Drosophila melanogaster: one gene and its partner. The protein of the gene in region 1 interacts with the protein of each later gene in a biochemical or structural test. Each region holds a gene or a part of one and is shown on either strand. Other genes may lie near its edges.

Region 1 (6,182 bases):
TATGTTAACATTTAGTGCGAATTGTACCTGAGGTACTTACATGTTCAGGAGAATACATATGTGCAGCTCCAAATTTAACTTACTAAAAGTAAGGCAAGTGCTTTCTTTACGGCTTGTATATATACATATATTCCAAATCAGGATAACTAGCGTACTCGTCCGGGCCGGTTTAGATTAGACATGGATGTAGTTTTACAACGATACAAGTGGATGTAGTTTTAGAACGATCCGATCTGGAGACTTGTGCAGATATTGTGTGTGTACTTACTTAACCCGCACTTGATTGCGCAGTTCAATTTGCTTTTATTGTCGTAGCTCACCATATCACTACTCCAGACGGGATTGTACTCAGGGGTGGTTAGGCAGGATTGCGTGCATTGGAGCCTAGACTGTAGTTTTCTTATATTATCGGATGAGGGTGGCTTTGAATAAGTCCAACTAACAGCAGGAAAATGCCTTAAAAAAATCGTCAGCTGCAATCGGTGATTATACGACCTGGACAGCCTAACAAATATTCCGAATCTAGACATTTCAGACGATACTTCTGCGTCAATGCAAATTTAATTTAAAAAACCTCATGCTTTAAACTTTCGCCGTTAACATTATCGCCAATGACCCCAATTGACCTTTATTTTCGATTAACATTTGTCAGCATGATCCAAATCATTTTCGGTTAACTTGATTGTTTTATTGATAAGCAGTTAAGCCTTGATTTTACATAGCACATATGTACATACATTTTTACAAGCTTATTATGATATGCAAACCGAAAAAGGAAGCATCACAGAGTCAATTTTTGTCAAGCATAAAGCTCGGACCCACAATGTGGTTCAAAAAAGTGAGTTTGGACTAACAAGTATTTTTCGATTTTTTTGATTTTTCATTTAACGACACTGAAACAGAAGGAATCTCTTAAACAAAATTGATGTTCCCTCTGTGTGTAGTTATAAACTTTTTTGGCTTATTGAAAAAATACGGTGCAGTTGCTTTGGGTTGTTCCTATGCGAAGAATTACATCTGCTCGTCTGCTCCTTTTTTTCCTAAATTTGTTCTTCCATCTTTAAAAATCCAGTTAGTTTTTGGTCCCAAATGATCAGACATATGGGGACCACGGAAAGCAGCTGCAACTTCCTAGGTGACTGCTTTAAGTTGCGCTCGGCAATAAGAATGTAATTGGGTACGCCGTGTGTGTCTACGAGGACCTTTTGCATTTTGTAGTTAATGCTTATAACGTGGCCCGACTCCAGAGTAACTACGTTCATCATATGCTGAAATATTTCAATGACCACAGCTCGCATGTATATGCCCTGCTTGTTGTGAACATATCGTTTGAAGTACAAGTTACCAGAGTCCTCTCCGGCCTTTTTCGCATTGTACTTGCGCTCATTCGCTAATTTCGTTAAGGTGTGCAAATCATCTGGGGTACGTTTAGGCGGTGTACAATATTTAAGTGCGGCCGCCAAAAGTCTAGAGTGGAGGAAATTTTAAGTACGGGAGGCGAACTTCCAAGGTAAGTGACAGTTACCGGTGCACCAAAATATCAGGATACCGACGGATTGGGCTAGTAAAGTGAGTGTATATGGGTATGGACAAGGCGTAGTGCCACAGGTCAGCCGGTTCCGATTTACCCTCGCTACAAAAATATCTAAAGGGGGGAAATTGTGGGAAGAGTAATTATTTGAAAACTGAGACACTCACGTTGCACGGGCCATTGGTTTCATCAAAAGCTGACTTAGGCAGGCATTCATTGCGACAGGATTGGGCGCCTCATTGCACAACCGCACCATGCTCTCCTGGAGCGCCTTAGACGAGCTATAGTCCAATTCGAATCCCAGAGCAAGCAGCTTTTCCCTTAAAGCCTTAAGGGACTTAATAAGTGGCGGAGGGTGGTTACGCAGTACAGCGATATCCGGAAAGGAGTCGTGTATAAAGCGGGCGACTGCCTGGTTGGCCAGGAGCATAAACTCTTCAATCAGCCGGTTAGCCTCTCGCTGTTTCTCCACTTCAAAAGACAACGGCTCGCCAGTAATTGGATCGAGCAGGAAGCGTAGCTTGGCATTGTTAATTGTGAGTGCGCCATTGTCTAAACGTGTCTTACGGATGGAGCTTGCAATGTCGTGCAGCCATAGCACCCTATTTCTGATATCATCGGGATTAAATCCATTCAGGATGGTCGGAAAGTCGTTCTCGGTAAACCGTTCATTAGGGTTGTCGATGATCTTTTGAGCGTGTTCATAAGCAAATTGCGAGCAAGAGTTAATGACTGTGCGGCAAAATTCTGGCTTCTTTTGCAGCATGACTCCCTTCCCGTTCATCCGCCAGAAGACGGAAAAAGCAAACTTGTCTTGCCCAGGGAGCAGGGAACATCGCATGCATAGAGACTGAGGCAGCATGTGGATTACCTCGTTGGCTAAATAAATAGACGTAGAGCGTTCCTTCACTATGTTATCCAGTTCATTGTCCTCTATCAGGAAGTGCGAAACATCGGATATATGGACGCCAATCTCATATTCGTTGTCGCCTAGCTTCTCTATAGAAACGGCGTCATCCAAATCGCGAGCAGTCATCGGATCTATAGTAAATATGCACATCTTTCTTAAGTCTTTTCGTTGACGCAGATCCTCTTGGCTTATCGGAGGTGGCGGCTGGGAGTAAATGTCGATAAATCGTTGCTCAAATGGCTTTATATCCCGGAGACCGTTATGAAACAGAATTGCCTTAAGTTCGTCATCCAAATTACCCACGCGGCCAACCGGCTGGATTAGTTCAGCGATGCAGTGCCCATTGCAATCTGTCTCGAGTATATGGGCAAGGTATAAGAGGCCGGACACGTCTATTTGCTGCTTGTTTCCGATGTGGGCGGCACAGGCATCCTTCGGAACGTAGACCATGGGGACACGCAAATCGTACGGTCGGAATTTGTAGAATAGCTGGTCGTCACAGAGTTTGGTTGGGTTCGTAAACGATATGGTTCCCACGATCTGGCGGAGCTCAGTTCGTTTAGTTATTGCTATGACGAACGCTTTAGGGCAGTTGTCCGACGATATCACGACCACGTTGTCGGTATCGGACTCAGAGCCCTGGGACTCGGTATCGTCCGAAAGCTCCTCACCATCCGCTTTATAGGATATTATCATCAGTCGAAAGTATTATAAGTTTGCCGATAAACTTACCAAGAGATAATGAGGGCTTCCCACCAGAGATTTCACCAGACGAGGGCTCAGCTGTCTTTGAACTACCCTGAGCACCAGGGTTTAGCACGAATGCACGTACTTTGTCACCATCGAAGGCATAGCGCCTAGCCACTGGCAAGAGCACGATGCCATCTCGTTCGAGTGCTTCTCGATCAGTGGACATGATTATAAAGGCCTGTCTGTTGTTCTTGCGGTTAACCCGGATTTCCTCTTCTACAATGCGCCCATAACCCGCCGCAACTAGTCTCTGCGCATGCGCTTCCAGGTCGGAGAAGTTACCTTTGAAAATCAAGTCTTCCGACAACTGGTGATCCATACCCACGTGACGTTGGACAATCTTGTTTATGTACGACCGCATGGCCTCTAGTTCGGTTTTTTGCGATTGGGTCCCATTGCTACCGGATCCATCGTTTTTCTTGCTATTGCGTTGCCTTCGTCCTAGTTTCGGTTGCTGCTGTACATGACTTCCATTGTTTGTAGCAGAGACCTCAGAATCGTGGCGATGCCGCCCCTGGTAACCAACCTGTTGCGGATGTGCTTCTGACCTGGTCTGACTCCACTCGAGCTGAGAAAGGATCTCGTTTTTACGTATCAGCTGGCAGGCATACGCGTTAACATCTGGGGAGAGGTGTGAAAGATGTTTGACCATATCCTGAAGAGCTTCCACCTCATTTCGAAGAGCCCGCTTCGACTTCTTTTTCGCTATTAACCGATGGCTGGGACTAGACACGACGTGCAAATGCGAAAGTGGCTGAAGGCAGGGAATCTGCATGGTCGCCTGGTAGGAGGCGAATGCTACGTGGTAGGGCAATTGCATAGCTACCGGCGCTGGCGTGGATACTGGCACACCGTAAGGAATGGCCTGCCTGCTGTTGCTCCGAGCAGATGGTTGGGATTGGTTGGGATGTGGCCGTGGTTCCGCCCAGCGCATTAGTGGCTGCAGCGGAATAACGGCATTGTTGGCCGATAGGTCTTTGCTGGATGCATTAGACTCCATTTCCCTCTGCATCTGCTGGAGGCGGGCAGCAAGGCGTTGTGAGCGCTGTCGGAGGCCCTCAATCCTTCTGCAATCTCGGTCCGCATCCACGTTGACGCTTGACGTTTCCGACATTCTGCAAGAAGTGCACTTAGTTAATGGGATTCGCTGATGTCCGAAAGTGTACGGCACTACACTTGGCTATGGGCGGGATATAAAGGGTAAGGCATAATTCAATACTTTCTCCAAATTAAAATGATAGGACAAGTACAGTAGGACCGTACTGCGTGGTATGTCGGAGCAGTGTCAGCTTCGGCCACACTCCGATACGCTAGTTCGGAAATTAGTGGAGATGAATGACGGTAAGTTGTTTTTGTTTATTTTCGCATTTGGGAATAGATATTTAAACTGATCTTCCAGAAGAAATCATAAAGCAGCGCCTGCTGATTGACGGGGATGGAACTGGAGAGGATCGGAGAATAGTAGTGTTGCTGAAACAGTTCTTGAAGTGGGCCAGTGACTCGCTGGACAGCAAGTAAGAAATTGGATATGTGTGTATTCAAAACATGGTGTACATATCTCCTCTTTTCCGAATTACAGTCCCATCATGTACGACCGACTGATGGCCCAATTCGCCCAGTGCAAGCTCACTGCGTTAAAGAATGTACAAACTCTGCAGATGATCGCCGGTGAGCGTGACAACTACACACAACTAGTTGAACACCACGAAGAAAGTATTGTTTTGGCTAAAGCGGAAATCGAATCCAGTAAAAAAGAGCTAATCACTGCCAAGCAGATTCGCAAGAACAAGATGGAGTACGACCTGCTGGCCTCGCTCATCCAGGACCAACCGGACCGCAGTGAAACACAGCGACATATTGAGACCATTAGGAGGGAGATTGACGACTTGGTGCAAAAGAAGCTAAAGATGGAGCGCAAGTTTCAGAAACGACGCAATGACTTCACTTTGCTGATGTACACGATTCACGAGCTGGAACAGCAGCTGGACCAGGACAGCTCATCCTCGGCATCCTCCTCGTCCAGCGATTGCGATGCCCGCTCTGAGCCGGACCTAGACGACAATGGGATCATGGAGGTAAGCGATGAAGACGACGATCTCAACAATAGCACTCCCACAAAGTTCGACGGAGCCCGCGGCGAGCCCAAATATCACTCAGTCTCTACTGAGGACTCTAAAGCCATGTCCGTAGAAGAGGACACGGTGCTTGAGCTAAGCATCGACAAAGATGAGCACGACGTGGATGTAGCTGTTGCCAATTAGGTTAGAAGCGCTAGCATGTACAATAAAAACAAAAAAATAAAATGTCATGAACTATAATATACAAATTCAACTGTTGTTTCGAAATTCCTTCGTTTTTATTTCCAATTTAGACTTGCGCCAAAGACGATATTTAAGGGTTATAAAATTTAATTTTAATATATTTTTATTTTACTTGCATATATACTAGAAATAATTCCGAAATCCCAGGAGGTATTTTTAAAACGTATTTACTTTTGTCCGGCGTGCAGTCACACTAAAAAAGCTACGAAGAGGAAGAATACAATAAGAGGAAAATTACAAGTTTCATTAGCCATCTGCAGAATTACCGCACACCTTATGAACGCACAGTGTGCGCGCATCTGCAGTTTACATTGTTAAACAATCAAATAATGGCTGACGACAAAAGGTAGGTTAATTTTACTAAGCCGACCGCACGTGTGTGTATTGACCTGGGCTGCTCCCCTCTTGTACCGAATAGCTACGACTCCAGCAACAACAGCGAGACCGAAGAGCGTCGGGCCAAGCACAAAAAGGCTAAAAAGCACAAAAAACATAAAAAATCCTCGACTGGCAAGACCGAGAAGGACAGGCATGTCCACAAGAAGCAGAAGAAGGCAAAAAAGCGCCCCCACCGAACAAGCGAATCCACAAACGAATCGGACGCCCCGGAAAACGCAAAGTTAAAGCTATCACAAAATTGCGGGCTGAGCAGCAAGTTCACAGAAATCAT
Region 2 (5,275 bases), on another chromosome or scaffold:
TCTGGAACTCAGTCAGATCCACGTTAAGGGCACCATCGAATCGCAGAGAGGCGGTAATCGAGGACACGATCTGGCCAATCAGACGGTTCAGGTTGGTGTACGTGGGGCGCTCAATGTCCAGATTGCGGCGGCAGATGTCGTAGATAGCCTCGTTGTCGACCATGAAGGCGCAGTCGGAATGCTCCAGGGTGGTGTGGGTGGTCAGGATGGAGTTGTAGGGCTCGACCACGGCAGTGGACACCTGGGGGGCTGGGTAGATGGCGAACTCCAGCTTGGACTTCTTGCCGTAGTCCACGGAGAGACGCTCCATCAGCAGCGAGGTGAAGCCGGAGCCGGTACCTCCACCGAACGAGTGGAAGATGAGGAAGCCCTGCAGACCGGTGCACTGATCGGCCAGCTTGCGGATCCTGTCCAGAACCAGATCGACGATCTCCTTGCCGATGGTGTAGTGGCCACGGGCGTAGTTGTTGGCCGCATCCTCCTTACCAGTGATCAGCTGCTCGGGGTGGAACAGCTGACGGTAGGTTCCGGTACGGACCTCATCGACCACAGTGGGTTCCAGATCCACAAACACGGCGCGGGGCACGTGCTTGCCAGCTCCAGTCTCGCTGAAGAAGGTGTTGAACGAGTCATCACCTCCGCCCACGGTCTTGTCAGACGGCATCTGGCCATCGGGCTGGATGCCGTGCTCCAAGCAGTAGAGCTCCCAGCAGGCGTTTCCAATCTGGACACCAGCCTGACCAACATGGATAGAGATACATTCACGCTGTGGATGAGGAGGAAGGGAAAACGGATGATTAGTTACACACCCCAAGAAAATCGATAATTGCAGAGCCGCGCCCAACTTGAGCCGGCACTGCGTGCGAGTGAGAGAGGTAGCTAAATGGTATACTGATTTTTTTGCTCTACTTTGCCGACGCCGGAATTTTACTCTCTCGCCATTTTCTCTTTAATTCTATCCAAAATCTACAGTTATGCGTCGAAGTATCATGGTAACCGAATTTAGAATTTTTAAGATTAATGAAGCGTTCCAGCAGCATAGAAATAATGAATATTTTTTTTATCTAGATTTTAAGAGCCATTCCTCATTGCGAACAAAAAAAAAAAACAGGCATGACGTCATCACTTTTGAGGAAAAAACGCAGGCCGGCCGCCATTTTGAGAAAAAGCCGCATCGCGTTTTTGCCCATTGAATTTTGCCCACACAAATTTCTTTTCAGCATTATTTCACTAGATTTTTTTTTAAAGTACTCACCATATTGAGTTTTTATTGGAAGTGTTTCACACGCGACAAGGAAAATTCACAGAATTGTGTAGAGCTACGATTTCGAGGTCTGACTCAGAGAGCGTATACGTTCGAACTGCCGGCTATGAGGCTTGACAAACGTAAAACGAATATGAAATGTGGAAAGCGGGCTGCTTTATATAGGCACCGGAGCTAGAGACGGCAAGCTGTCGACTTAAACGCCGCATAACCGATAACTGAAGTGGGAGAGGTAATGGCACTTGGTCTCTCTAAAACTTGCTGCGGTATTTTGCAGGACTAGTTGGGACTCGAACCAGGGCGTGAATCTTTGCTTGCCCAACCGGTAGACCTAACCGGTTGCTAAAGTGGGCCAACATTAATAATATTTTTGTTGAATGTTTCATAAAAGCTATTTTAATATAAATTCGCATCGTTACCGATTCAATAAGGTTTAGTAAATCATTATATTTCTGACTCCATATTGATTTCCAACAGCAAATTAATTAACTCCATAACTTCCCCTCTCCCTTTGGAGCAAAGGATGTAGTTAATATCTTAACATCTAAACTTGTTTTGTTTTTTTATTCAAATAGGAGTTATATTAAATAGAAATGTAAAAAACAAAGCAGGTTTTAAGAAAATGATGTCAGGAGATTTTGAACTCCTACTCATGGTCACTCTAATCGCAGTCTGCAATTTACGTGTTTCCAACTTAACGCCCCCAAGTTAATAGCCGTAATCATTTGAAAAGAAAGGCACGCACGCACAACGCCATGCGGATCGAACCTGGGGACTCCTTTTGGACGAAAAAGGCGATGTTTTCCAACGCAGAAAGGCAGTACTTTGAGACGGTCCGTCCGCGGAAGACCAGTGTGAGTAAAAGTTGACCGTCGATGGCGATTTCACAAGTGACGTTTAAGTGGCGGGAACTTCTACTCACAAATCCCTGAGCCCTGTGATATGATTTATTTTATGGAGCCGTGATCCGGACGAAAAATGCACACACATTTCTACAAAAATATGTACATCGCGGTGCGATTGTGTCGCTTAAAGCACACGTACACCCACTGTCACACTCACACTCACATGCATACACCGCCGGCGAACTTTGGTGTAGTTGGCCACCCTACGAAATTCAACCGCTTCGATTCGAATTTTCGAATCAACAGTTATTGGCAGTCGAACAAAGGCGGCAAACTTTCGAGTTGCAGAAAAGTTAACGCATTCGATTAACCTTTCAGCTTCCGGGCTCCACCGCGCCCAACATAGCCGCTCCGGTAACAAAGGCCACGAAGAAGAATAAGACGATGGCCGAGATGATGCCAAACAAACTGCTTTACGTGAGTACGAGTTTGTATCATTCGAATTTTTAGACTAAAGCCCGCTGATCGTGCAGATGAATCCGCTTACCATGGAGGCACACTTCTTTCTGCAGACCCTAAACTCAGTGAACCAGACGACGAATCCGCCGCAGCTAGACCCGCACCTGGCCAACCTGCTGGAGCGCATTATGGTGGGCATCGAGAGCTACTTGGACAGGAATCCCACATACGTTTTGCCGCAGGAGATGGCCGCACCGGGTGAGGGCGTGGCCTTCGTCCAGCCCCAGGAGCTGCAGACAATAAAGCGAACATTCAGCTGTAGTTCCTGCAGCAACCGCATAGTGGGCACCACCATCGCAAAAGCTGTGGCCCACCTTTCGGAGCAGCATCCAAAACCCAATCCCAACAATCAGCCAGTCCAGCCGCATCCGACGCATCAGACGAAACAGGAGAAAAAGCAGGCCCAGGTGAAGGCTCGTCAGCATATAACAGTACGGCTACCCAAGAGTAGGTCACCATTTCATTTCATTTACTTACGCAGAAGTGCAGTCTAAAAATTGTGGTCTGACTACTTGTAAATGTTAGATTGATAAAGCCTCAATACTTTGATTAATATGTTTTCTTTAGAGCCAGCGATATTTTATAAATACTTTTTACATTGCAGAGGCCAGGGCAATGATTGTGGGAGAGATTACGAATGTGTTTAAGGACAAATACCCAATAGCGGACAAGTTAAAGGTGATTCCCGAGTACGACGTTATCGAACAGGACCTGTGCAAGCTTTTGTCGCCGGGCTTTCCCAAACAACCACTGCGAGTCTACAAGTTCGGGTCCCGCATCACAGGCATTGGAAATCGATCCTCGGACCTGGACCTCTTCGTCGACATCGGTAAGTCGGGTTAGTACTGCATTGAGCTCCTACCAATTTCACCTGGCTTCTGAATTGGCAGGCAACACATTTCACACGTTCGAGCATCGAGCTTCCAACGCTACCGTCGCCAAGCTGCGGGCTATGAGGAAGTTCTTCTGCGACAGCGAGGACTGGCGTCTTATTAATGTGAGCTGTGTCCCTAAGCAATACGTTCGTTTTTACCATTGCACTTTCTTCAACAGTTCATCGAACAGGCTCGCGTGCCCATCATCAAGACGTGCCACTTACCAACCGGTATCGAGTGCGACATTTGTCTGAACAGCATGGGCTTTTGCAATACAAATCTGCTCAAATACATATTTGAGTCACAGCCACTGAGTAAGCACATGCTGCCGGATAGAGTCCATGTTATCTTTTTGCATTCGCTCCCTTGCAGCTCAATATATGTGCATATATGTAAAGAACTGGCTGGAGCGCTGCAAGCTAACTGAACAAATATCGACGTACAGCATTACACTGATGGTGATTTACTTCCTGCAGCTCCAGGCCCTGCTGCCCCCCATTGCCATGCTGCAGATAGAGGATGCAGCCAATCAGGCCGTGCTCGTGGGTCGTAAGTACATCGTCGGTTTCTTGGGGGGATTCACCAAGTAAGTCGTCTCTTTACAGCGTGGGTTGTCAACTTTGCACAAAAATCGTTTAGCGAACTGGGACTGCAGCAATTAAAGGCGACCGTCCCCGTCATCAAGGGCTTCCTTCGAAACTTCTTTGCGTATTTCGCCAAATTTGACTACGAGCATTTCTTGGTCTGCCCATATATAGGTCAGGCTAATGTTGAAATCGCGAAGATTGAGAGGATGCTGCATGCTAGGTGAGAATATTAATTGCTTAACTTTAAGCCCTTTAAATATGTAATGCTATATAGAAATTACAAAAAAAAAAAAAAAAAAAAAAAAAACTTTCCCTGCTACTAGGTATTCAGCATATGTGTCGGACAACCCTGAATGCTCGATCCAGCTGAAAAAACCGATGGTGGTACAGGATCCCATACAACTAAACCACAATGTAACGAAAGCGGTGACCAAATATGGACTGCAGACGTTCGTTGACTACTGCCAGCAGACGGCGGAGCTGCTTGAGGAACCTTCCACCAATTGGCGTCAGCGCTATGCATTTTAAAGAAATCCCCCTCGATTATCTGTCCCTGCATCCAATCTCAAGGCACTTCCGTTTATGGTCTGTTAGGCTTCTACCTTGTGAGCGCGACACCAATGTAGGTTTGTTCAGACTGTTAATTAAAGGCGATTGTCACGTTTCGGCAATATATTTCACTAACAAGCTTTTAAATTGTATAATTGGTTTGGTATCATTTGCATTAACACATAAAGTGACCTCGTATGGCACGCACAGACACGGACTACATCTGCCAGGACTCGGGCAGCCGGTTGAACACCTTCAGCAGCATATATATTGTGAAGCCCACGATTAGGAACAGCCCCAGGAAGCTGATGCGGTTCAGCCAGTGCTGCTTGGAGTCGCGCATCAGGTTGTAAATGCTCATGGCCGAGCTCTCCGCCTCCTCCACGCTCCCGTTATTGTCAATGACGAAGTGAGACTTCTCGCACTTCTTGTCCAGCGGCATTTGTGAATCGACGCGATGCCGGGCTTCCGATTCCGAGAGCTCATTGCGGGCTATTAATCGCTCCAGCTGCTTGTCCGAGTCGCTGCAATATGGGGGGATGCAGTTAAAGCCAGCTACACTTTGACACCTAGCATTCAAGAGCTATTAACCTACCAGGTTACACAGACGATCTTGTGTATAAAGTCCATCAGCAC

Evidence for each region.
Region 2: of the proteins of Dis3l2 (region 1) and Tailor, one has a biochemical effect on the other in vitro, tested with the Drosophila melanogaster proteins (one study listed by BioGRID).

What each region holds. Positions count from the first base shown.
Region 1 is NT_037436.4:210,968-217,149, reverse strand, and holds Dis3l2 (Dis3 like 3'-5' exoribonuclease 2), read right to left. Parts: upstream 4,442-6,182; 5' UTR 4,401-4,441; coding exon 4,366-4,400; exon of another isoform or gene 4,307-4,365; coding exon 3,174-4,306; intron 3,119-3,173; coding exon 1,699-3,118; intron 1,646-1,698; coding exon 1,526-1,645; intron 1,468-1,525; coding exon 1,041-1,467; 3' UTR 671-1,040; downstream 1-670. Other genes in the region: thoc7, read left to right, coding at 4,463-4,532, 4,591-4,705, 4,771-5,452; Prp4k (Pre-mRNA processing factor 4 kinase), read left to right, coding at 5,842-5,858, 5,931-6,182.
Region 2 is NT_033777.3:7,082,725-7,087,999, reverse strand, and holds Tailor (tailor), read left to right. Parts: upstream 1-1,916; 5' UTR 1,917-2,019; coding exon 2,020-2,118; exon of another isoform or gene 2,119-2,340; intron 2,341-2,436; exon of another isoform or gene 2,437-2,487; coding exon 2,488-2,586; intron 2,587-2,642; coding exon 2,643-3,075; intron 3,076-3,232; coding exon 3,233-3,466; intron 3,467-3,518; coding exon 3,519-3,625; intron 3,626-3,681; coding exon 3,682-3,817; intron 3,818-3,875; coding exon 3,876-4,052; intron 4,053-4,108; coding exon 4,109-4,310; intron 4,311-4,413; coding exon 4,414-4,618; 3' UTR 4,619-4,775; downstream 4,776-5,275. Other genes in the region: alphaTub84B (alpha-Tubulin at 84B), read right to left, coding at 1-766, 1,256-1,258; Dpck (Dephospho-CoA kinase), read right to left, coding at 4,857-5,163, 5,235-5,275. UniProt on the Drosophila melanogaster protein: Uridylyltransferase which mediates terminal uridylation of miRNAs, leading to their degradation. Has high specificity for splicing-derived miRNAs (mirtrons) and other miRNA substrates containing a 3'-G terminal nucleotide.